Schizosaccharomyces pombe: one gene and its partners. Changing the gene in region 4 together with the main gene of any one other region gives a genetic interaction. Each region holds a gene or a part of one and is shown on either strand. Other genes may lie near its edges.

Region 1 (3,395 bases), on a different chromosome or scaffold from region 4:
ACTCATTTGTTCACGTGAAGGGTGACGTTACGGAGGTTGGAAAAGCTAGTATCGAAACTGCTATTAAAAAGTTTGGAAAATTGGACTCGGTTATTCTAAATGCAGGTGTCCTTGAACCTATAGCCAAAATCGCTGATGCAGATATCAATGAATGGCGTAAGTTGTTTGATATCAACTTTTTCAGTGTGGTTGAAACAGTGAAGTATGCAATCCCGCATTTGCGTAAAACCAAGGGTACTATTGTGATTGTATCCTCTGGCGCTGCTGTTCGTGTTTTTCCCGCGTGGGCTGCATATTGTTGCTCAAAGGCCGCCATCAACATGCTAGTCATGAACCTTGGCAGCGAGGAGCCTGATATAATGAGTGTGGCAGTACGTCCGGGAGTTGTTGATACCCCTATGCAAGTTAGTATCCGTAATGATTCCAATAAAGAAGCCATGGGTGGAGATACTCATAATTTTTTCAAAGAACTTAAAACATCCGGTCAACTTGTGGCTCCTCAGGACATCGCCAAAGCTCTTTCTTTTCTAGCCTTGAATAACAATCCAAAGCTTACTGGTCAATTCGTAGAATGGAAATCATTTGTCTAGATGTTCTATAGTTTATTGAATTTCGGAGTTAGAGGCTACAATTGTTCGTTTAAATAAAACAAAATGAATAAATTAAACATTACATCAAATAAAAGTAGCTGAAAATAGTCCCAAAAAATGATCATGATTACTAATATTGATAAACAAAGCTGCAACAACATCTCAATCATTCATTAATGGTGACTATTCTAATTGGGTATCGTTGTCTTGGGCGACAAAAGCATCATCAGCTGTATCTTGAACATATGGATCTCCGCTCGTCAAATTCACTAATGAATTGGAAGATGGACCAGTAAATAATGAAGCATTAGAGTCCGAACCATTTTCAACAGCAATTTCATTAATCCAACCACGACGTCGAACCTTGACGGATCTGTGTTTTCCTAGAGTTTTAAGATACGATATTGAGTCATCAAACGTGGCTCTTGGATATAACTCATGAGTCCATATATGATACATTCCCAATAGTTGTTTTAAGTCTTTTGCCTCATGACCCTTTCCTTTTAACTTAACTTTGCGCATCATTTTCCTTAATTTTGGAATTCCATTTTCAGAAATCAATCTAAATAGGGAAAACGAGTGGTCAATAATTATTTTCCGAAAACCGACCAAATTCTTACCTTTCTTCATCAAATTTTGCCAACCGTTTGCGAGGTTTTTTTACAGAATCTGGATTTTCTTCTAACCCTAAATCAAATTCTTTTTCTTCTTCATTCTTTTTCACCTCTTCCCTTTTGTTTTCCTCGACGAGTTTTTCAACACCTGAATCAGAAGCAGCTGTAGACATTTCTTATGGTGTTTTTTTAAAATATATATTTGCTTGTATGTTTCGCAAAAGAGAGTTAGTGAATGCAATAAATATCGATTTGCTTGCTGTTTCGCTTCAAAAGTTCTGTTAATCTAGCAATTTTTCTATGTACTATTGACTTTACTGCTAATGAAAAGCGAATAGAACCTTTCAAATTTAACTGCGCAGCAAGAAAGGTTTATAATTTACTAATGAAAGAAAATTCCTTATTTAACGCGGATTAGAAATGTGTAGAGGAAGAATAGTTCAGAAGGCTCATGTTACACCTGGACTATATACTTTTATAAAATTTTGTTAAGAATGCTCATAAATTATAGCTAATTTTTGGAATTGTGATAGACGTATTTGAGTGATAGTGCTCGCTGCTAATACTAGTATAACAATTCTCAACGTAATCATTTTTGAATCGTTTCGGAAAGCATAATAAAGCAACTTTTACCCTTTCTCTTTCAATTAACATACTTTCCTTCAAATTTCTTGCATTCGTGTAGATTTCTTTTTTTGAATAAGTGTTTGTCATTAAAGGTTTAGGCAATGGCTTCTAGATATCGTGTTGAGTATGCGTTAAAGCAACATCGGAAGGACGATTTTATTGAATGGATTAAAGGTTTGTTGTCAGTTCCTTTTGTTTTACAGGCAGGAACCCCTTCACAGAAACTAGTAACGCGCGAAAAAGAGCAGGAAACGCTTGAGCGTTACGCTGTAATTTTAAGAGATGTGGAAAAACTTATTGAGGCTCATAGTAAGTTTCCCCTTCATTCTTTTAATTTTCTAACCTTTCTCATTGATAGTTCAAATAGTTTCAGAAGGTGGATCCTATAGCCAGTTAAAGATGCTTGTTCCATCGATCACCATATTTTGGACACCTTTGCCATTAGTGAAAGCTATGTACGCGTTGGAACCAAAGCTTTGTCTAGCTAAACGAAGCTTTGTGGCACCGAGTTTTAACGATGTCAGGGCAATATTAGGAGGTGCTCAATTGAATTACCTTGCGGATAATGGCTTGGATATGGTCAGTTTTGATGGAGATGTAACTCTGTACGAAGATGGGCAGCCTTTGCTTCCTGACAATCCTGTTATATCCCGTTTGATTCAGTTACTTTCGAGGGGGATCTATGTCATCATTCTTACTGCTGCTGGCTATCCCAGTCGTACTGGCCAGGAGTATACTGATAGATTTTCAGGATTATTGCAGGCAATCGAAGACAGCGACTTGAAGGATGGGCAGAAACGGAAACTTCATGTATTAGGAGGCGAGAGCAATTACTTATTTGCTTATGACCCACTGCATGGTTTACAATGGGTGGATGCTGACTCATGGATGCTTCCCGTGATGAAAACATGGCCTCATGATGAGATTCTCGAAATTTTGGATACTGCTGAAGAAACTCTTCGTTCTTGCATTCAAGGACTTAACATTGATGCAAAAATAGTTCGTAAAGAAAGATCAGTTGGATTTGTACCTTCCCTTGGTCAAAAACTGAGAAGGGAGCAACTGGAGGAAGCTGTTTTGGAGACACAAGCAACGTTGCAGATACGAAATTTCTCAGTTCCTTTTACTGCTTTCAATGGTGGAAATGATATTTGGTGTGATATTGGTGACAAGAAATTGGGTGTTTTATGCCTTCAGCATTTTTTTAATATTTCCCATCCTTCTCGCTGTCTGCATGTTGGTGATCAATTCTTGTCAGCTGGTAACAATGATTATAAAGCGGTAAGTTTGAAATAAACTTTTGTTGAAGATTACTAACCACCTATTCAAAGAGAGCTGCTGCTACCACTGTTTGGGTATCCAGCCCCCACGAGACGATTGAGTTTTTAGATTATTATTTCTCTTTTTTAAAAAAGTAATTTAATTAGAGGAGAGATCTTATACTGCAAACACATTCGTAAATATTCTTCTTATACTTCAGCAATGCTATACTATACTTATAAAATGAATACCCATATAAGCGTTTTGACATCAAAAGATATATGATCGTTCAATACATTGTTAA
Region 2 (5,443 bases), on a different chromosome or scaffold from region 4:
TAAAACAAAAAAAATGAAAAATATATCAACTGTTATGTTTCAAGATCCTTGATGACTACAAGCCTTTACAATCACAAGAAAAAAAACTTATCGTGAGTTCAAAGAACAAACCTTCGAGTTTGCGTTATAAACAGTTCTAAAAAATAAAAGAAAAAGAAATCTCCAACTAAGGCTATCTCCTATTGAGAAACTGCTAAAAATGAATATTTAGGAATCCGGTTGAGTAAATGTAGGTACTCGTAGAAGGTAGGATCCAAATGCTAGTGTGTTCATACTTTGTTTTACGTAATTTAATCTTTACCAACCCGATTGTATCCGCTCGTGGTTGCATTGGATTGCTCCAGCAAATAGTGAGACAAAATCTCTTCCACTGATATTTCTGCTATACCGGAACTTGTGCCAATCTGACAAAGAGAACGAAAAAGTGGAAACCGGGTTTAAAGATGCGAAAAAGGCAGTCAAATGTAAACGCTAGAGAAAAAAGTAATTTGGATGGTATAGAAGTGCTTGAAAAACTATTTAGTACAACCAAAGAAGAGTAATTGGTATAAAGATTAAAAAAGCAGCAGCTTGGCTTTTCTTTCCTTTTCTATTTGTAAAAAAAAAAAAACAAAAAAAAAATTGTTTACAAGAGTAAGTTTGCTTGTATATTGAATTTGATGATCGTAACAGGCATTTCACCAATATTAAAGAAAAAGACCTCAAGAGTAAACAGTAATTATGAAAAAAAAAGCCAAATGCAATGGGGATAGTATGAAATGTCACGTTCAATTTGTTTTGTGCTAAATTTTATTCTGTCTATATTTTTGCTGAAAAAACTTCCTTAGCTTTGCATTTTTTGTATGAATTTTTATTAAACACTAAACTAGAAGTAATTAATTCCTTCTTTCAGCACACTAAGTTGTTGTACGCTAGCATTCATTTCAAGACATCATTAAGTCACGAAATTACGAAGCACTTTCACAATTTGTCTGCCGTAGGATGATAATAAATAATTTTTTTTTAAAAAGTTCAATGAAAGATACTTTTCTTAAATCGTAGAGGACTTACCACTTCCAATCCGGAGGTGTATCAGCAGCCCAATTGAACTTGTCACGAATCGTCTTACTAAACAGCTTCTCAATAGGAACGTCTTCTCGCTTGCTGAACGAATAAGTAAGCCTCGGGTCTATGTAGTTAATCTTACTTGTACCCAAAGCAGTAGTTTTATTCTCGTCTTTATCGATCATCTGAGTACGCATAACATTAATTCGTTCATTGAGTTTGTTTAATCTTTTCTCAAGTTGTTCCATCGAAGAACGACCTGGATCGACTTTTTTGCTTTTAAGTTCAGCGTCCAGCGCTTTCTTCAACTCATCAGCCGCTTTCAATCGAACTTCCAATTCAGATTCCGGAAGCACTGATTTGGGATCCTCAGCAGCTAATTTTTCGTTCTCACGATCGAATTTCTTTTTTATTTTCTCTTTTTCTAGTTCGTAAAGTGTCTCGTGATGTTTTACGATCCATGAATCGGTAATGCCTTCTTCTTTAGCCAGCAATTCGGGCTTGCTTTTAGCAAGCTTGGGCTCTAAATTCAGCATCATTTTTCGCAGTCTCATCCGCTGGTATTGTAATGCCTTAATCCTTTCGGCAAACCGTTCCATTTGAACATCGTGATTTTTGGTTACGGAACGTTGATGATTACATAAAATTGCAACAGTCCTATTTGCCCTATTATAAAATAGTATTTTGTCTGCAAGGGTGAGGTTCTTAGGCATTTTCTTAAGTTCCTCGGCCATGGTGTATGAAGCATTGTAGGTACGAAATACTTTAGCTGAAAGTCCATCCATAAGGCTAGTCAGATATTTGTTAAGACTGTTTGTACTGAGACGGTCGAAAATTAAATCACCCTCTTTTTTGGGAGGACGTTTAAAGATCTTTAGATTTTTAAAAACTTGGGGATCAACTTCAACCTCGTTGTAGTAACGAATAGAATCTTTACCAAGAAAATCGAAAACGACTGTTCGTGGTGGCTTCAGTGTAACATGTTCATATCGCAGTGAACAACAACCAACAGTATCCGCCTCGTCTTCACCCTTTTCATTTCCTGCTCTTAAAGCAAAAACATCAATTAAATACATGGCAGTTCCTCTTTGACGCTCAACCGTTAACTCACTTTTCAAATCTTTCCGGTAGCCTTTACGGATATCATCAATATAATCCTTAAGCTTTCTTGACTTTTCGTATTTTTTTAAGTCACTCTGTCCTTTTAGAGAACTTCCTGCAGCTAAAAAGACATATTTGACATTATTATTTATATTTTCATGCCAGGTTGCCAACCAGGTCACTGTATTATCATGCTTTACCTCCGCCCATTGATGCCCAGGGAGTGGTTCTGGAACGGGTACACCTTCACCAATATTAATGGTAATTTGTTCAGGATATACTCGACGCTTTAAAGAACCAGTTTTAGGATGACTACCTCGACCACGAAATAACCCTGGAGGTTCAATACGAAAGTTACCAACCTTCTCCTTTCTCCCATCAAGTATGCACCATTTATATTTTTCCTCTTCCTCATCTTTTTTCTGCTTTATTGCCTTCTTCTGTTCCTTCGGCATACTCTTCTTCTCTTCCCTCTTTTGCTCAAAATGGTGAAACATTTGGGTAAAATCACATTTAGAAAACTCTTTAATGTTGTGATTAAAGTTACATTCATCACAGACCTTTAAGAAGTCACGGAAAAAATTATCTTGGAATACAGGATTTTTGGCATGATCGGTTTCAAGCATTGCAGCATAAAAACCAGCAACTTCTTCTGCTTCGGGAGGAAGATTTACGGGGTTTCCATCGTAAATTAGCTTGACGTTCTTTGGTAAAGGTTCATAGGGTGGAGCAAAAATTACACCATTATGCTCCAATGTAGTCCATTTTTGAGTATCATCGATATTTTCTGAAGTCCACCACTTGTAATCCTCATCTTCATCTTCCTCATCGTTTGGTGAGCGATTTTGCGTGGTCGAAGCTCCCGAAGGCAGTTCTGATTTGTAAGGAGTTAAAGATACAGTCGAAACAGCTCTCAATGGAACTGAATCATCTGTGTCACTTTCCTCTTTTTTAACAGCTGACTTCGCGCCATTTTTACTTCCATTCGCTTTAGAAACACGTTTATGCTTCGGTGAGGGCTTTGCAATTTCATTGAAATCCTCTTCCTCTTTTACAACCGCCGTTTTTTTTCCGTTTTTTAAACCACCATTTCCCATTACTTTAGCTCTTTTTTTAGAGCTTGAATTGGACATATTTTTCTTTGAAGAAGCACGTCTCTTTCTAATCGGTATATCATCCTCATCACTCTCGGATTTGGATTTCTTATTCAACGATTCACTAAGAGGATGATTCTAAACAATTAGTCAACAATCTTTAATTATTATGTTGTGAACATACTTCAGAACTATCACTCTCTTCGTCCGACTCCTTCATACTAATCCGTTTAGATGAACCGCGTCTTTGCCTCCTTCTAATGGATAAAGACACGGAATCTGAATCTTTTCAGTTGTTAAAAATTTTGCAAATGTTGTTAAATTACGTGAAACCTTACCAGACGAAGACATTGTGAATTGTTTGCATACATCTATAATACAGTAAAAGAAGGATTAATATTGAGTACGTACACTCGTTGTCATGACAACCAAATATTGACAATTAATGTTTGTAAAAATTAGTAGCTAAATGAGAAACTGGAATTTTCAAATAAAATAAAATTTAATGTTACGAAGCTTGCAGCAAAAAGCTATAAATGTGCATATTTCAAAATAAACCCATTAACAGTACGAGAAAAGTAATCTCTAATAATTTTGAAAGCTTTAACTTTACATTTATTGTAAACAATACCAAAAGCCACTGAATATCCAAAACAAAAAAAAGGTGATTTGATTGATACAATAAGCCATTAGCTGCCAAATATTGGAGGTTTATTATTTAATATGTAAGCTAATATTTTGGCAGTAAATAGCAAATAGCTTAACAGCATATAGGGAAAGCTTTAATGCCACTTCAAATTCATAAACTACTAAGGACTTAATAAAGTGGGTTAATAAAAAAAACAATAATTAAAATTATGGGATTCTCTTAGTGAAAAAAAATGAGATTAAATATCGTCTTTAGCTGTTGAACAAATTAATGAAACTGGGTGATCATCACTCATTCAAAGATTCAATATTTGGAATAAAAGCTCTTATTAGAGAGCTTCCAGTTACCATTCCCGTAGTCATAAATGTGAATTCATATAAATCTTCTTTTTCTTGCAATAAACGAAATGCAGCCAGCTCTGTGTACGTGCAACCACCGATGAAAAAAACTAAAACACGACGTTTACCTGGTACGTTTGTCTTCAAATTTTTAGGCATGACCTTTTCCTGGTCTAATGTCCACTTGTCAACGTAAGTTCCAGGCATATTTTGCAACTTAAGAATTTTTTCTTCATTGTCTCTGCCTTTTAAAATGTCATATGCTATGTGGACTGACAAAGGACCGTACCCGCTGTACGTATAGGCTATATCTTCAGGATTCTGCTCATCAACTTCGTCCTTAACCAAAGGATAAGTGTTTAACCATGTAGAATAAGACAATGATTTTTGAAGTGAAATATTAGTGGATTGCCGGAGGCGCAATAGTCCTGCATCTATCAAGGCTTGGAATGTTAAAAGGTGATAATAACCATATGTTTGAGTGATTTCCCTACGGTAATGATCTATATCTTTTCTTCTCAAACCATTGGTAGTTATACTTGCAAGGCAAAGTACTCGAAAAACCTCTTCAACAGGTGCTTCGGCATAGATAATTTCATCTAATAAATTGAATTGAGTAAAAGAATCGGCATGAGAAACTAGCAAATGCTGAAGTTGTAGTAGCTTTTGAAAGTAATTATTTTTTGTGTGTTGCACCAAAGTTTCAGCGAGACCAGTGTCTATCTAATTAATAAAATTTTTTATGGAAATCAAAAGAAAAAAATACTTACGAATATTTAATGATGTATGCTCCGATTGTAAGGAACCCAGTTTGGAAACGAAGTCTCTAATCTGATTTACAGTTTTGGCTTGACGTCGACCTTCAAAATCGCTGGATAGTTTTCGAGCAATTTTGCTTAAATAAGGGCCTATGCAATTAAAATTTATGTCTCTAATTTCCTTGGTAATTTGGCTGGAAGAAGAACTTAAAGAAAACTTTTTCATCGGTCCAGTATTTGAAGCTTCATTTCGGTTAACCAAGGATGAAGGAAGTTTGACATTCACTAATCAGTTAGATAAATAATAAACAAATATGAATCATACTTTGCTGAATTCCAAGTATTTCGTCCAAAAATCCAAAGTAGGTAAGTTGAGTCAAAAACGGTGTAATACGATCTAATGATCGATCAACTAAAAGAACGCTATCGTAGAGAGCAGAAATCTCTCCTTCCACCTTC
Region 3 (5,934 bases), on a different chromosome or scaffold from region 4:
CTCGCTTCCCTTGCGCATTTCCAAAAGACTCCAGTATATTTCTAAATTGTTATTTTTTATTCCATCATATTTTGCTCAACTTACGAGCCTGTTCAACAGCTTTTACTGCAAACTAAAATTTTTTAAATCAGTACATGCTTTACCAAAACTAAATACTTTCTACAACCACGTACCTGCATTTCAATCTAAAATCTGTAAGTATTATTAAATAAATAATAACCAAGGCTTACCTCGGCGGCATTTTCCGCATTTTCCGCATCAATTTTTGTACTTAACATTTCGAAAAATATTCTGTTTCTCCGTTTTTACTTTACTGCTGCTAAGTAGGTTGTAGTAGAAAGTGACATTAGGTAAGGTAACAAAGAGCAAGAAAAATTGTAAATAATCAAAACACGAATAAATCACAAAATATAAGCTATGTTGCTCAATTACTTTGTCTAAACACAGTTACAGCAGGAAAACTCAAAAAAATTTACTCAACAAAAAATTACAGTAACTTCTTTTATAGGAACAACCAGTTAAGTAAACAAATAAATAAATAATTTATTAAACTTATTTTCTTCTTCTTTTGCTGGGTTTTTTTAGTAAGCTAGTACTAAGCTTGGTTTTTCTAGGTAGATTCTCAATAGAAATTGAAGAAGAATTCGTCTTCGGAGTTAAACTTGCTAAAAAGTTATCTTCAGAGTCTGAATCTGAATCAGAGGAATTTTTGCTTGCCATCATTTTCTTCCTTCTAAGAATACGGCTTTGTAGTTCATCTGATCCTTTAGATTCACCAAATGCATCTGCGTCTGCCTGAATTTCTTCACTCATTGGGCTTTGATTGCTAATCTGATTTTTAAAAGATGAAAGAGCATTTTCAAGCCGTTTACTCTTAAAATGGTATGCAACTCTCGGCGCATATACATTAGTATTACCACCTTCAAAAAACTGAGTCAAATTGGACTGTGTACCCACGAATTGCTTTTTATGCATGTCTTGTATAACCGGAAGTAAAACTTCATTAGTTCGTTGTTTTGACCAACCCACAGTAGCCATCAAAAACTGGCGTAACTCGTCAAGGTCGGGTATGCCCCATTGAAACGATTGCTTGCTATCATCCACGGCCGGATGAAGATAAGCTTCATCAACTAACGGATTAGGAAATTCTGATGGTAAAATAATTTTTCCAACCAACTTGTTAATTCTCTTTTTTACTGGCGTATTAACATCATTTTTTGATGCGTGTCCAGTTGATAAACGTTGAAACCATTTTTTAAATTCAAAAAGTCCAGTGTCACCAGGAAATTCATGTAAAATCTCCAGTGCAAGAACTGGACCTACCCTAGAAAGTCCCATAGTATAATCACTTCCCAAAAGATGTGCCAACTTAATTAAATCCATTTGATTCACATTAAATTCTCTTTTCATATCATCCATTAAATAGAGTTCGACAAATTTGTTCTGATTAAACATATTTCGATATACCCGAGTTCCACCAAAAAGAAACACGTCTGAGTCATCAGTAACAATCCCATCAACCAGCTTTAGCTCCAAAAGTTTAGAACACTGGGCTTCTGCTTCTTGAGGAGCAACGATATATGGTAAGCCAAATAAACGCAGAAGTTCTTGACATTCTTTAATCATTACTTGAGTGACCTCATCCGCATCACGTTTTTCAGACCTTTTTTGATTTTTGAGCTCTTTCAACCTTTTTTCAAAGGCCTCTTGATTCCACTCTTCAGTTTCATGTCGTTGATTGAGTTCTGAAACAAACCGATCATATTCCTTTTCTTCTTCTGCCATCCTGATAATCATTTCCTCTTCTTCCTCATCTAAAAGTTTTTCAACCACTTCAGGCTCTACTTTCGAACTCAAGGCAGCAGCTCCTTTATTTGGAGAGGCTTCTTTTTGAAAGTCAGTTGGAATGCTAAGTGAAGGGCTGCTGGTCTCTAAAGTAGGAAGAACAGCGTCAATTGATTCGGATTTGATATCCCCAGTATCCTTAGCATTTTCGGAGCTCAATAAATACACTGACATGGCCTTATCACTAGAAACATTTAATGGGTTGGTAACTGTGCCATCATCAGCTTGTTCTTTCATATTCTCAAAGGGTTCCAAAGGATTGAGTTCACGTAAGTCTAAATCTTTTTCATCATCTTTTACCGGAAGAAGAGGTGAAATAATTGGATTTTCAATTCCAGGTTTAGCAGCGTCTAAATCGGATTCAATATTAACTGTTGCATTAATAGTATGTAAATTTGTATCTTCCACAAGTTTAGAATTATCCGGTGCCTCACTTGGTATATCAGTTTTAGAATCCATAAATGTTTCAGTTGGTTTCTTTAATTTCTCGAAAAAAATAGACTTTCCCCAATCCATAGGCTGAAAAGGTAAAGGATCAATTAAATCATTGGTTTTTTTCTCTCTACTCGCAGATGGAAGGGCATCCATAAAAATTGAAGTCCCATTTTCAGGATGCTTTTTTTCCGCGAATGCTAATGAATCATTGGAAACATCTCCAACATGTTCAAGTTTCAAATTTTCCTCGTCGTTAAGAAGTGAATTCATTGAATCCTCTGCAGGAATATCGGTCGACAAAATTTCAAACGTCTTTTTCTCGCTATTCAACTTATCAAACTCAGAAGCCGAAAGACTAAACAGCTCTTTTGATTTTTTGTTTTCCTCTAGAGATTGCTGGGTTGCTAATTGAAGTATTAAATCATCAGTAACATTATAATCTGCTTCATCTGATTGCTGATTTTCCGAAAATGAATTTTCTTTTATTTCCTTTAATTTAGCGGCTACCAATTCTCTAGGGTTCATGCTATGAGATCGGCTAGGTAAAGGCACATCGTAGAATGCCTCATCCTCGTCTTCGTCTATAAGATTGCTGCTAAGTTTTGTAGCCTCATCATCAATAATAATAGGTTCATTGTTTGTAGATCCTGAGATAACACCGAGAGCCCATCCACCTTCAGCACCTTCGTTTTTTACTAAAATATATTCTCGGTTTTTTTCACTTACTACTCTAGAGGGTCCAAACTCATTCATTCCAGTAAAGTCCATTAATCTCTGAGTTAAATCGTTACGTTCCTTCAGTCTCTCAATTTGAAAACGAGAGAAATCCATTCTATTAGGAAACATCTCGGAAAGTTGTTCAGAGCTTAAACCCATTCGTAAACGAGAGCGTAATCTTGCTGCACTTAAAATACTATATTTATCCGTATCGGGTAATGATTGAAATAATTCAGAGTCAAAATCAATATTTGAAAAATCAAATAAATTTATATCTTCAATTTTAGTAAAACTAGAGACATATTGTGTAAGCTCATCCTGGGACATAATTCGAGGGTCGTAACTCGACCCTAACTTATCAAACGAAACGTCCATTTCAGGTAGTTGGTATGGATCAGGCTTCAAATAATTTTTTCTTTGATTAAGTACTGGCTTAATTTCTGAATTATCCAATGTCATAGATGAAGGCATTTGTCTCTCATTTTGAACCGAGGCATTTGCCAATGCAGTAGCTTTTTTATTATTTTCCTCTAAAAGCATTGCCTGATGCCTCATTTGCAAAGCCAGAAGTTTATTGGCCGTGACCGTGGCATTTTCCTCCCTGTCGAGTCTTCTGGCTTGTCTTTTTTGGATAGTTTGGCGTTTCAATGACGGCGCTCCTCCATCAAAAACAAATACAGGTTTAATCCCAAAAAATAATAGTTTGCATATCCTTCTAAAAAATCCTACAACATGACTGCTTTTCAGCTGGTTTCCTTCTTTGTCACGTACGGCCTTTAAGAATTGATAAATCCAAATTGAAGCGTCAATTGCCAACCGTTTGTTAACAAGTGTTTCTAGCTTGACAGGCCTTTTTACCGGTTCTAAAATATCCCAAAGACCTGAAACCCCCATTGCAAAATATTATATGCGATGTCAAGAAGTTTCGTTGTAGACGACTTTATTTTTGATTATTATACGAAGAAATGTGATTAAAGCAAGCCTTTTTCTTTACCCTTTTTCTTCTTTTTTAATTAAAATCGTTATAAAAGACATGTTTTACCAACAAAGCGATAAAACAAGGGCATGTGCGATGATTGATGCTAACACTTTAGTGTGTGGCACTTGACTTGAGCCAATTACCACATTAAACTGATAGGGCTGCCTAAATCATATGGTCAAAAGAAGATTGTCTGCATTTGGAAATGCCTTTTTAATTTATTTTATTATATTTCGGTTATGCTGCTGCTCTCCACAAACGAGTCATTGGTGTAAATATCCGGCATTGTGTTTGAAGTCACCAGATACGCATAACGAAAATTTGGTATGTGATGCGTACCTTTCTGTGATTGCTACCAAATCTGAAGAAAAAGAAGCTAGCAACCCTACAACATGGGATTTCACTCCCACAAATAAGTACCAGGAACCTTCGTTTCACACAAAAACGAGTTTGAATGGAAGTGATACCATTTCTTCTAATTTTTTGTCAAAATATGAATATTCCAATGGAACAAGTACTAGCGAATTTATAGATTCAATTAGCCCACCATTGGTGAACGAGACGTCTACAATTTCATCCTCAAAGAAGCTAGAGCAAAACTATTCTGTAACGGAAGTTATTGATACTAATATTATTACTAGTTCTTCGGTTACTCTACCAATTTCTGAGGATGGTTCCTCTACTTCAGCAGCAGCTACAATTGATTCAAATATAGATGAAAAGACTGTTGCATTCTCAGAAGAAAAAAGATTCAACTTTGCTTCAACTGACTGCGCTGCTGCTGTCATTAAAACAAATCCTGAAGCAGTCGGATCTTCTTCGATTCTGACCGAAAACAAAGACAAATATATGCTGAACAAATGTTCCGCTGAAAACAAGTTCGTGGTAATTGAACTTTGTGAGGATATTTATGTCGATACAGTTCAAATTGCCAACTTCGAATTTTTTTCAAGTATATTTCGTGATTTCAAGGTCAGTGTAAGCGGTAAATATCCAAAATACGAGTCTTCTTGGATGGAATTGGGTACATTTACGGCCTTAAACCTAAGGACTCTTCAATCTTTTCATATTGAGAACCCTCTTATTTGGGCGAAGTATCTTAAAATAGAGTTTTTAACTCATTATGGGTCAGAATTTTATTGTCCTGTAAGCCTACTTAGGGTTTATGGAAAAACTATGATAGAAGAATTTGAAGAAGCAAATGAAGACTTCTTAGAACAAAAAGTGAACGACGGAAGCGCTATTAAAGCAGATGAAATCCGGAAGCCTCAAGAAAGTCCTATTTTTGTGGACGAAGAAGATACCGATGTTCAAAGCAAACCAGTGAGAAAGAATCCATCAGTCGAGTTGAATAGTACAGACACCTTACTTTCTTCTACTGTGATATCTAAGTCTTTGAGCACTGTTGTTATAGGAAATGAAACAGGAAAAAGTGAATCATATCCTGCAACATCAACTCGCTCTTTTAACGATATTTCTCCATCTTCTTCATCTTCTTACAGTACCGCTCAAATATCTACCTTTCCTTCTAATCAGGAAAGCATTTACAAAAACATAAATAAGCGTCTTTCTACCTTAGAAGAACGGAAGAAGGCATTTGATGAAATTGTAGAAAAAATATTAACAAATTATGGTAAGCACAATGCCAAAAACATGAATTTTACGCAGCTATTACATGAATTGAACTCGACCCTTCAATTAGAAATTTCGAAATTGTCGAAAAGTGTCGTTAAGCCGTCTTTGTTTGCTCTCCAAGCTAAACTTGAGCTTCTTTCTGCAGAAAATGAATACTTTCAGAGTCAAATTACTTCACTATATCAAGAATCATCTTTTCAAAAGCGACTTTTAATGCTTCAACTCACGGTTCTAATCGTTTTAACAGTGTATATGGCCGTATCGAGGCTTCCAGAAAATCTGCCAACAACCCGTTCATCTTCAAACAACCCTATTGAGGCTTC
Region 4 (7,825 bases):
GTTATCTGTTGTAACGATACGTTGGATTACGTCGAAATCTCCTTGTTATCTATTATATTGCACTATACTGGTAATGTAAGTAGCAACTTGTTATTAGTATTCTATATGATTACATTTTTAGCCATCACTAATATTGCCTACAGCTGAACCTCGTTCCTCAGTTCAGTTATAGCTTCTATTCGTAATTATCTAATAGATGTTACCAGCGGGTATTTTTGTATACAGAATAGTTATTCTCAATTACCAATAAAAACACCTTAGCTAATATTCTAACATATGATATTTAGCGATAGACAAGCATAATGTAGCATAACATATAGTAGAATTGCAGGTATTACAAAAGCGATGAATATATTCACAACTTTGAGCCATGGAAATCGACCATACACATTTTTTTGGTGTAGCATATGCTCAAATTGGCTTTAAAAAAAAGTTCATGAAATAAAGAAACTTAGTCATCGACAATGGACCTTGGAAAAATAGAAATCCGAAAATTAACGTGATACTGTTTCATATTTTGTATTATTTATTTAGTGTGCGTGACGCATGTTATTAAATATAGCCTTTGTCAAGTTCGTTAAATTAAGCTTATTTTTTATAGAGTAATTGAATCTATTGACGTAACTTACGCCTGCGATACAGAAATGCAAACAACGAATTTCAACTTTTAAAATCTACCATTGTCTAATATTTAAAAAAGCTAGAAATGAAATTGAGGGATAAATGGAAAATTTATTTAGGGTTAACGACTATCAAAGTTCAATGCCCTTGTTTTTTTTTGTTTCACAATGATGAAAATCGAACCACTACATCTAACTTAGATTCGGTAAAGTCTAAAAAAAAAAGAAGGAAGACGATATCTGATGCTTCAATCGTTTCTAATGGATCTCTAGTCTCTCATCCATCTATTGACAAGGGAAAACTCTCTATTCTCAAGCGATATAAAATGTCGCATCGATTAACTGCAATTGATAAACTAAGACCGCTAACTGTGTTGGTAGCGTGGAAACAATTAAACATTGCTATGAGACCAATATTTCCGCAACATCGTTACACCGAACAGGATAAGAAGAATTGGAAAAAAAAGGTTATTATCGAAGATTTAAATTTTTTAGTGCTGCGGTGTATATGCGCTTGCGAAGCAATAAGCGATTTTGAAGAGCTTTTGGGAAATATGCGAATTGGACTGATAATTGACATTTCATTGCTGGGTATGAATAGCAATGAGTCTTCCTTTCTACACTATCTTGTTGAGGTGTGGTCGATTTTTTATTTAGAAATATTGCCGTATATCGAAGCTACGTTTTTGCCTGTTACTTTTGCAAAATTTGAGATTGCTCAATTATTTGAAGAGCCCATGAAAACGTACTGGTTAAAAAAGAGTGCTAATATAGATTTGAAACTGTTTTCTATTTGGGTGTTTCGTAAATTTGTTGTAATGCCAAAGCTGAAAAAGACAAATCGATTCATTGAAATTCCTCAATTGAATACTCAGCAGCAGATTTTACTCGTCCAGATGATTTCCATTATTTCTCTCATAAAGCCACAAGATGAATCCGAAGATCTTCTAATGAACTGGCTAAACGAACTGACTTTAAAATTTTTATATGTCTGAAATTTAATATGTTTTAATAGAAGATAGACTTTTTATACTTTCAATATTTGTTTTTAAAGCCCATTTAAGCAATTTATCTTTTAATATTTGCGGCTTTTGTTAGGTATTTAATAATGTTACCTATTCCTTGTTACTCAATGGTGTTTCTATTTTGCTAACTGGAGTATGCAACAGGACCTCCATATAGACACTTTTTAAAATCGAAAGAACTCTTCTAAGCCCTCTTATGTAATACCATCTTTCCCATGGGTTTGTAGGATGAATAGTTTCCTTTTACTTGACCATGTGTCTGACTCTCAGGATTCTGGAAGTGAATGGTCAAATACTCATGGGTCTTTAATTTCACAACGTGGAAATGAATACGATGGAATTACGCCGGCTACTAAAGAAAAAAATCAAAATAAGCTAGAAATTCTGAACAATGAAACCACCATCGGTTCTACAAAGTCATCGGTGTCTTCATTGCCCGAATTGAATAGGAATGTTTCTTTTGAAAAAAGTGATCAAAATTTAGCTGAAACAAAGAGGGAAGAAGAAAACAAACGAACTGAGGTTTTTAAAAAAGATGCCGAACACGAAGCGGTTGTTGTTAAAAGAGATTTTCGCCCTAGACGTCCTGAGCAAACCCGGCCTTATACTTACGATTTCTTAAGGCATCAAATAGAGTTTAAAAGAATAGGCTTGGTACCCATCACCGTACCGCATGGTTTTTCTTCTGATCGATCTATTACTTCTAAGTCCTCTCATAAACCTGTAAATGTTATAGTTCGTAATCGTGCTTCTTCACGTAAACCACCCTTGACCTCTACTCATCGCTTTAGAAGGTATGGAGCTGTAATATCTGATAGCGATGATGATGAGTCTAATACTGAGCAAGATCATTCAAAGGAATCTAATCTGAATACAGCTGACAATGACCTCGCATTGTCGTCTACTATTGAAGGAAAGAAAACCTCAACTAGCAAAGAGGCTTTAGAATCTGAGTCTTTACTTTCCGATTCGGATCAGTCTATGACAAATATCTCATCGAATTCTACTGTGAGTGATCTGAATTTGAAAACTTTAAAGAAAAGATTACGAGGAGTTTTACCACCATCATTTCTAACTCTTCAAGAAAAAAAAAAATTGGAAAATAGAGGTGTCAAAAAAAAGACATCATTACACAAGAGTGTTATTGAGGGAGAAAAAATAAAAGGTGTGGCTCGACGGAAGTTGCATCCTAGATCGACAGCTAAACTATCTAGTGAATTAGGAAACGAAATATCGGATTCTGACAATAGCATTTCTACGCCAACACCAACTGATGATTCACGGTTTGACACCAGCGAGTTTTTAGATTCAATTTCTCGTGATAATGGCTGGTTGAAAGAAGATGTGGTTGATCAATTATGGCTTCCTAAAAGAAGTTTATCCGCTCTTAAAAAATCAAGTTCTTTGACGTCGGAAAACCCCTTTCAGCTAAATGTAGCAGCCAATGCTGTTTCTACTATTCCTGTCTATCGCACAACTAAAACCAAAATGAAAAAAAATAGATTTAAATATGTCGAAGTGGAAAAATTACCAGACCTTATCCTTGAATCGTATGGGAAAAAGGCGCCAAAGTTTTTGAGGGTGTTTGCTCGAAGTTCATCTCATATTCCAAAAATGATTAGAAGAAAAAGACAAATGGATTCCAAAAAGTATTTTTCCTTCGACAAAGAATCCGATCGCCAAGTTATTGATCAAGTTCTTTCTGATTGGTATTCAGGTAAACATGAGCTTGTTCAACAATCTCATTCTTACAAAAAGCCTTCAGATTCTAAGTCAGTTGGTGGAAATATTTTTTCTGTTAATTCTAAAAAGCATAGTGTAAATATTAACGCTAAAACAGCAGCAAATAACGGTTTGAGTCATCTTCAAAATTTTAGCGAGGAACTCTTAAAAAAAAGAAAGCTATTTTCTTCTCTTTTTTCTAATAACGTTTCATACAAAAAATCCAAAAAGTTAAAAAGGACTCATACAGTACATGACAAATGCCAAAAAGTTGCCAAATTAGACCATTACATTAGGGACAATATTGAATTAAACTCAAAGGAAAGAGAACATGATTGTTATGAGGGGACTTTAGCTGTACCCCAAGTAAATACTGAGATCCGCAAGTCTTCAAGAAAGCAGAAGGCTCAACGATTTATACGAGACGATTTTGACACCGTCTTTTTTCAATCCTCTTCAAACCCTAATTATTTTACAGATGTAAATCCTTTTTGGAATATAGGTATTTGGTCTACTACATTTAATGTCATAACTTTTAGACCGGGACTTAGTTTGCCCAACAACTCCTTTATAAAAACCCAAGGGTTAAATTCTATTCTTCAATTGGACATCGTCACACATCCTTTTAAGTCTGTTTATGCTTTTTCTTGTTTATTCAATATCCAGGATGATGTTTTTAAAACATTCGAAAAATTAAAAGACACTTTTGAGACAGTCTTAGAAAATCTTCCATACTTTACAAACTCTGAAACTGTTGACTTGTACAATCTACTTTCTTTTTGCTCTGCGTTTATTCTTCATTCTCAAGTATCAATGGGCTTGGTTAACTTGGCTTCCTCCTTTTTAGAAACCTATGCATTAGTCAATGATCGTGTTTCTTCTATATCGGGGTTGAATAGATCACAATTGGTTGAAAAAATAGCTGTGTTGTTTCAAACTTTTCAAGTTGTATTTTATTGTGAATTTGAACTTGGAAATCAGCAAAACATTAATAAAGTTTCCTGGCTGGCAAGTGATTTGATTTCAAAACTTCTTTCTGCTGGTCAATCTGGTCTATTGGAATGTTATCGGAATTTGAGAATTCAAGCTTCAGATACGACTGTAATTGACACTCTTTTTTTGGAATCTTGGTCAATTTTAAATCATATTCTTTTTCATGTATATAAGAAGAAATATGCTTTGTGGGAACAGGTGAATTCATTTTTTGATCTTCAAAAAAAGGAGTTGTCTATATTAGAAATGGAAAAAATTTGGTATGTTATAATGACGCTCAATCCCGTTTTCCAAATTGGGCTTAATGGAACGACTCATTCACCAGGAAACAATAGTTTTTGGCCACTGATAATCAGAGTTTCAGAAAGTGCATTTAAAATGCATAAGGACGGACACAATGTTAAAGTGGTTGAGCGATACCTTCGCACAGTGTTTCTTCGAATTCATTTTCTCATATCTGAATGGCGTTGGGAGGATGTGGCTCAAATCCTATTTTTGATATTCGATTTCTTTAGCCATAGAAAGTTTAATGACCTTTCTTCTGAAATATCTGAAGATACACCAACTGACTTTCCTGATTTTGTTAAGTCACTTGACAGACCTCCAAATCTTCATGTAACTGCTCTTGATACATGTTTTGTAATTTATTTAAAAGTTATTTTAATTTCTATAAGCCGTTTGAGGCAAGTAGATGAAAATACAAATTCAATCAAGAGGATAGTATCCAGATTACAGCCCTTACATTCACGTCAATACACGCGAGAAAGTCCATTCTCAATTAAGGACTTTATGTCTTTGGAACATACTCACACTCTTCTTATTTGTCTTTATTGGGCAGCACCCGAGAATTGTAGGCCCAGTTTAAATCGCATTAGGGATATTGTAATCGTCGATAATTCTCATCTTAAGGCACGTTTAATTAGTCTAAAAGCATGGCTTCACCTAATGAAGTATGTGATAAAAGAGGGAACTGATTATGAACTCGCTCAGGGAATGGAGTGGTTTAATTCCATTTTAAAAGTTACATTTGATGAATATCTTGCTCTCTTTTCAAATGGAACTTCTGTTGGTGAGATGCAATTGGCTGAATACTCGAAACATCAACTTGAAAATGCGCTAATTGTAGCTTTCCATTCCCTTCAAGATTTAATTCCCAATTCTTCAGTTTATATTAGTAGGATAAACGTTTTGGTGACGGAGCAGTCATGCCGGCGCATTCTTAAAGACTCTCATTTTTTTCCTCCTCGCGTTACTCTGGAGTGTATTTTATTTCTAAAAAAGTTTTTGCAGTATCAATCTAATACAGAGCCACCTAAGGTTACCGTTGTTGGTAGCACTTCGCATGATAGTCAAGATGCTTACTTTGATTCTGATGTGCTGGATGATAACACACTCATTTTAGAACAAGAAAAGTTTGAACGTAAATACGAAGTGGCTCAAATATTGAGAACATTTGTTTCACCCTTTTTGTATCAAACGATATCTTATCTCGTTGGAAATGACGAGGACAAAGAAAATTATATTCGTATTTTACTTTTACCATTAATGGAGTGCATGGCAATTTGTGCTAGTTTTGCTGTAGAAGCGAAAATCAATGACTGGAGTTACTATATCGATTTTGGGTCTGAGTCTTGGGAAAGGATTCGTAACACTCCTTTGAAAAGATCTCTCAGTACCACGTTTTATTCCTTCCTTATATCTTATAATGATTCTTTTATTAAAAAACATGAGGAAAAAGTCTTAACTGTATGGTTTGAATCACTGGGCGCTTTAGATGAGGATCATGCTGCACAATTTACGATTTTGTTATTACAGAAAAACCTAAAAAATCCTATTTTGCTTAATTTACCGATATCCGTCAAAATTGAGGAAATTAGTATAAATTACTTTAAGTCGGTTCACTTGAATTTATTAACAGCTGTGTTTTGCAACATGGCAAAACTGTATGCTGATGCCAAGACAAATGGTTTCGCGAGCTCTCAATATTTACAGAGCTTGTTTATTCATTACCTATCCTCTCTACTGTCTTCTATGCAGCATAGTTATGAGACAAATGGTCATTCTTCTGATACTCACTCTTTGTTTGTTATTAATTCACAACGTGTTGTCGGAGACATTTTACAGTATTGTAGTCAATTTGCAAATGATCGTAACCTTCCTGCCCTCAGATATTTTATGGACTCAACTAAGTTCCCCCAACCACCGGAGCGTCTCGAATATACGGCCTTGAGGTTACGAAGTTATGCGAGAAAAACTCTCACAAATTCAGCTTCTCAAAATGCTTTGTTTAGTTTCCTAAAAGCAAATTTTGATGTTGCTCTGCTAGAACAAAAGCAAACTGAAACTTCTAATCTTTTAAGGCTGGCTATGGGATTCCATAATCAAAATAGCTCCAGCAAATGGGATGTCGAGATTTCTTCTCTTCGGAAATTTTGTGTAAAGGAACTTTTATTGAGTTACCTTGGTGAAGGCTCGTTAGCAGCTATGTTTTATTCATTGTTACTACTGGAGGGTCTAAGCCGAACTTACAACAGCTTTAGACGTATATATTTGCAACCTTACATTCAACAGTTACTGTGTGAAGAAATTTCTGTTTTTGTGGCTGATTTAGAGAAATATGCTTTATTATATGAAAACAAACGCCCTTTACTTTCTGGGAGAATATATTACCTTATTTCTTCATTTGTGGCTATAAGCATGACAAACAAAACCAGTGGATTGCCATCTAGTTTAATATGTAACTTACAGAATTTTTTAGCTCGCATAGCTCGAGACTTCCTTCTTGAATTATGTTGGAATATTGAAGGGTCTGAGTTTCCCCCTCCTTACAATACTGTTGATTGTCGTAGCAAATTTGTTAAAACTATTCAGCAACATTGCTCAGCGGATTGGTACGACAACGTTACCAATATTGTACATAAGTCTAGGAAGAAAAAACTAGTTTTGCCTTCTCAGGTGGAACAGGAAGAAGAATACTGGTCAGGTTTAATGGAAGTTACTATTCAAATATGGAAACACGATAAAGGTTTTTTAGAGCCTGAATTAGATAGGTTTCTCAATGTAATTTGCAGTTATGCACCTGACATGAGTGGGTTACCGACAAAAATCAAATGCTTTTTGGATAAAATCGGCTATTCTTGGATGACTGAAGAGAATGATTTTGATATTGTATTGTTTTAAAAGCCAAAATTAAAAGATTTTTCAGTTGTGGTTGCTTTTGGTTTCCACGTTGTTTATTTTATTTATTTTATTTATTTTTAATATTTCATTTGATGTCTGTGTAATACACAAACTCATTTATTAATTATCTCTTGTTGTATACAAAATAATTAGACAATGAAATAATCCAGTTCTGCATATTTCTTTTGCTTAGAGCTCTTTTTTTTTGCTACTAGTACATCCATTAATGTACGTAATTTTATTATCACATGACTGTGGTCTAATTTGACCAGTAAAATATAATGT

What was found.
Region 1: of mus7 (region 4) and swi3, a mutation in one rescues a mutant of the other (synthetic rescue), as found in Schizosaccharomyces pombe (one study listed by BioGRID).
Region 2: of mus7 (region 4) and top1, a mutation in one rescues a mutant of the other (synthetic rescue), as found in Schizosaccharomyces pombe (one study listed by BioGRID).
Region 3: mutations in mus7 (region 4) and rad13 impair growth when combined (synthetic growth defect), as found in Schizosaccharomyces pombe (one study listed by BioGRID).

Annotation. Positions count from the first base shown.
Region 1 is NC_003423.3:3,090,151-3,093,545, forward strand, and holds swi3 (replication fork protection complex subunit Swi3), read right to left. Parts: upstream 1,707-3,395; 5' UTR 1,378-1,706; coding exon 1,211-1,377; exon of another isoform or gene 1,153-1,210; coding exon 774-1,152; 3' UTR 709-773; downstream 1-708. Other genes in the region: SPOM_SPBC30D10.05C (sepiapterin reductase), read left to right, coding at 1-590; isn1 (IMP 5'-nucleotidase), read left to right, coding at 1,933-2,140, 2,190-3,112, 3,163-3,249. UniProt on the Schizosaccharomyces pombe protein: Forms a fork protection complex (FPC) with swi1. FPC coordinates leading and lagging strand synthesis and moves with the replication fork. It is required for programmed fork-pausing which is necessary for mating-type switching.
Region 2 is NC_003423.3:2,940,991-2,946,433, forward strand, and holds top1 (DNA topoisomerase I), read right to left. Parts: upstream 3,607-5,443; 5' UTR 3,591-3,606; coding exon 3,578-3,590; exon of another isoform or gene 3,525-3,577; coding exon 3,424-3,524; exon of another isoform or gene 3,378-3,423; coding exon 1,047-3,377; 3' UTR 744-1,046; downstream 1-743. Other genes in the region: HOPS/CORVET complex subunit, vacuolar sorting protein Vps33, read right to left, coding at 4,176-4,945, 4,997-5,269, 5,310-5,443. UniProt on the Schizosaccharomyces pombe protein: Releases the supercoiling and torsional tension of DNA introduced during the DNA replication and transcription by transiently cleaving and rejoining one strand of the DNA duplex.
Region 3 is NC_003423.3:2,672,467-2,678,400, forward strand, and holds rad13 (DNA repair nuclease Rad13), read right to left. Parts: upstream 4,104-5,934; 5' UTR 3,892-4,103; coding exon 553-3,891; 3' UTR 524-552; downstream 1-523. Other genes in the region: SPOM_SPBC3E7.07C (uncharacterized protein), read right to left, coding at 1-41, 85-112, 174-185, 231-278; SPOM_SPBC3E7.09 (Sad1-UNC-like protein), read left to right, coding at 4,151-5,934. UniProt on the Schizosaccharomyces pombe protein: Single-stranded DNA endonuclease involved in excision repair of DNA damaged with UV light, bulky adducts, or cross-linking agents. Essential for the incision step of excision-repair.
Region 4 is NC_003424.3:2,408,019-2,415,843, reverse strand, and holds mus7 (DNA repair protein Mus7/Mms22), read left to right. Parts: upstream 1-1,796; 5' UTR 1,797-1,873; coding exon 1,874-7,540; 3' UTR 7,541-7,708; downstream 7,709-7,825. Other genes in the region: HbrB family protein involved in TOR signaling Bit2, read left to right, coding at 707-1,615. UniProt on the Schizosaccharomyces pombe protein: Involved in protection against replication-dependent DNA damage. May act by restoring active replication forks, repairing unusual DNA structures, and/or preventing aberrant DNA rearrangement at arrested replication forks.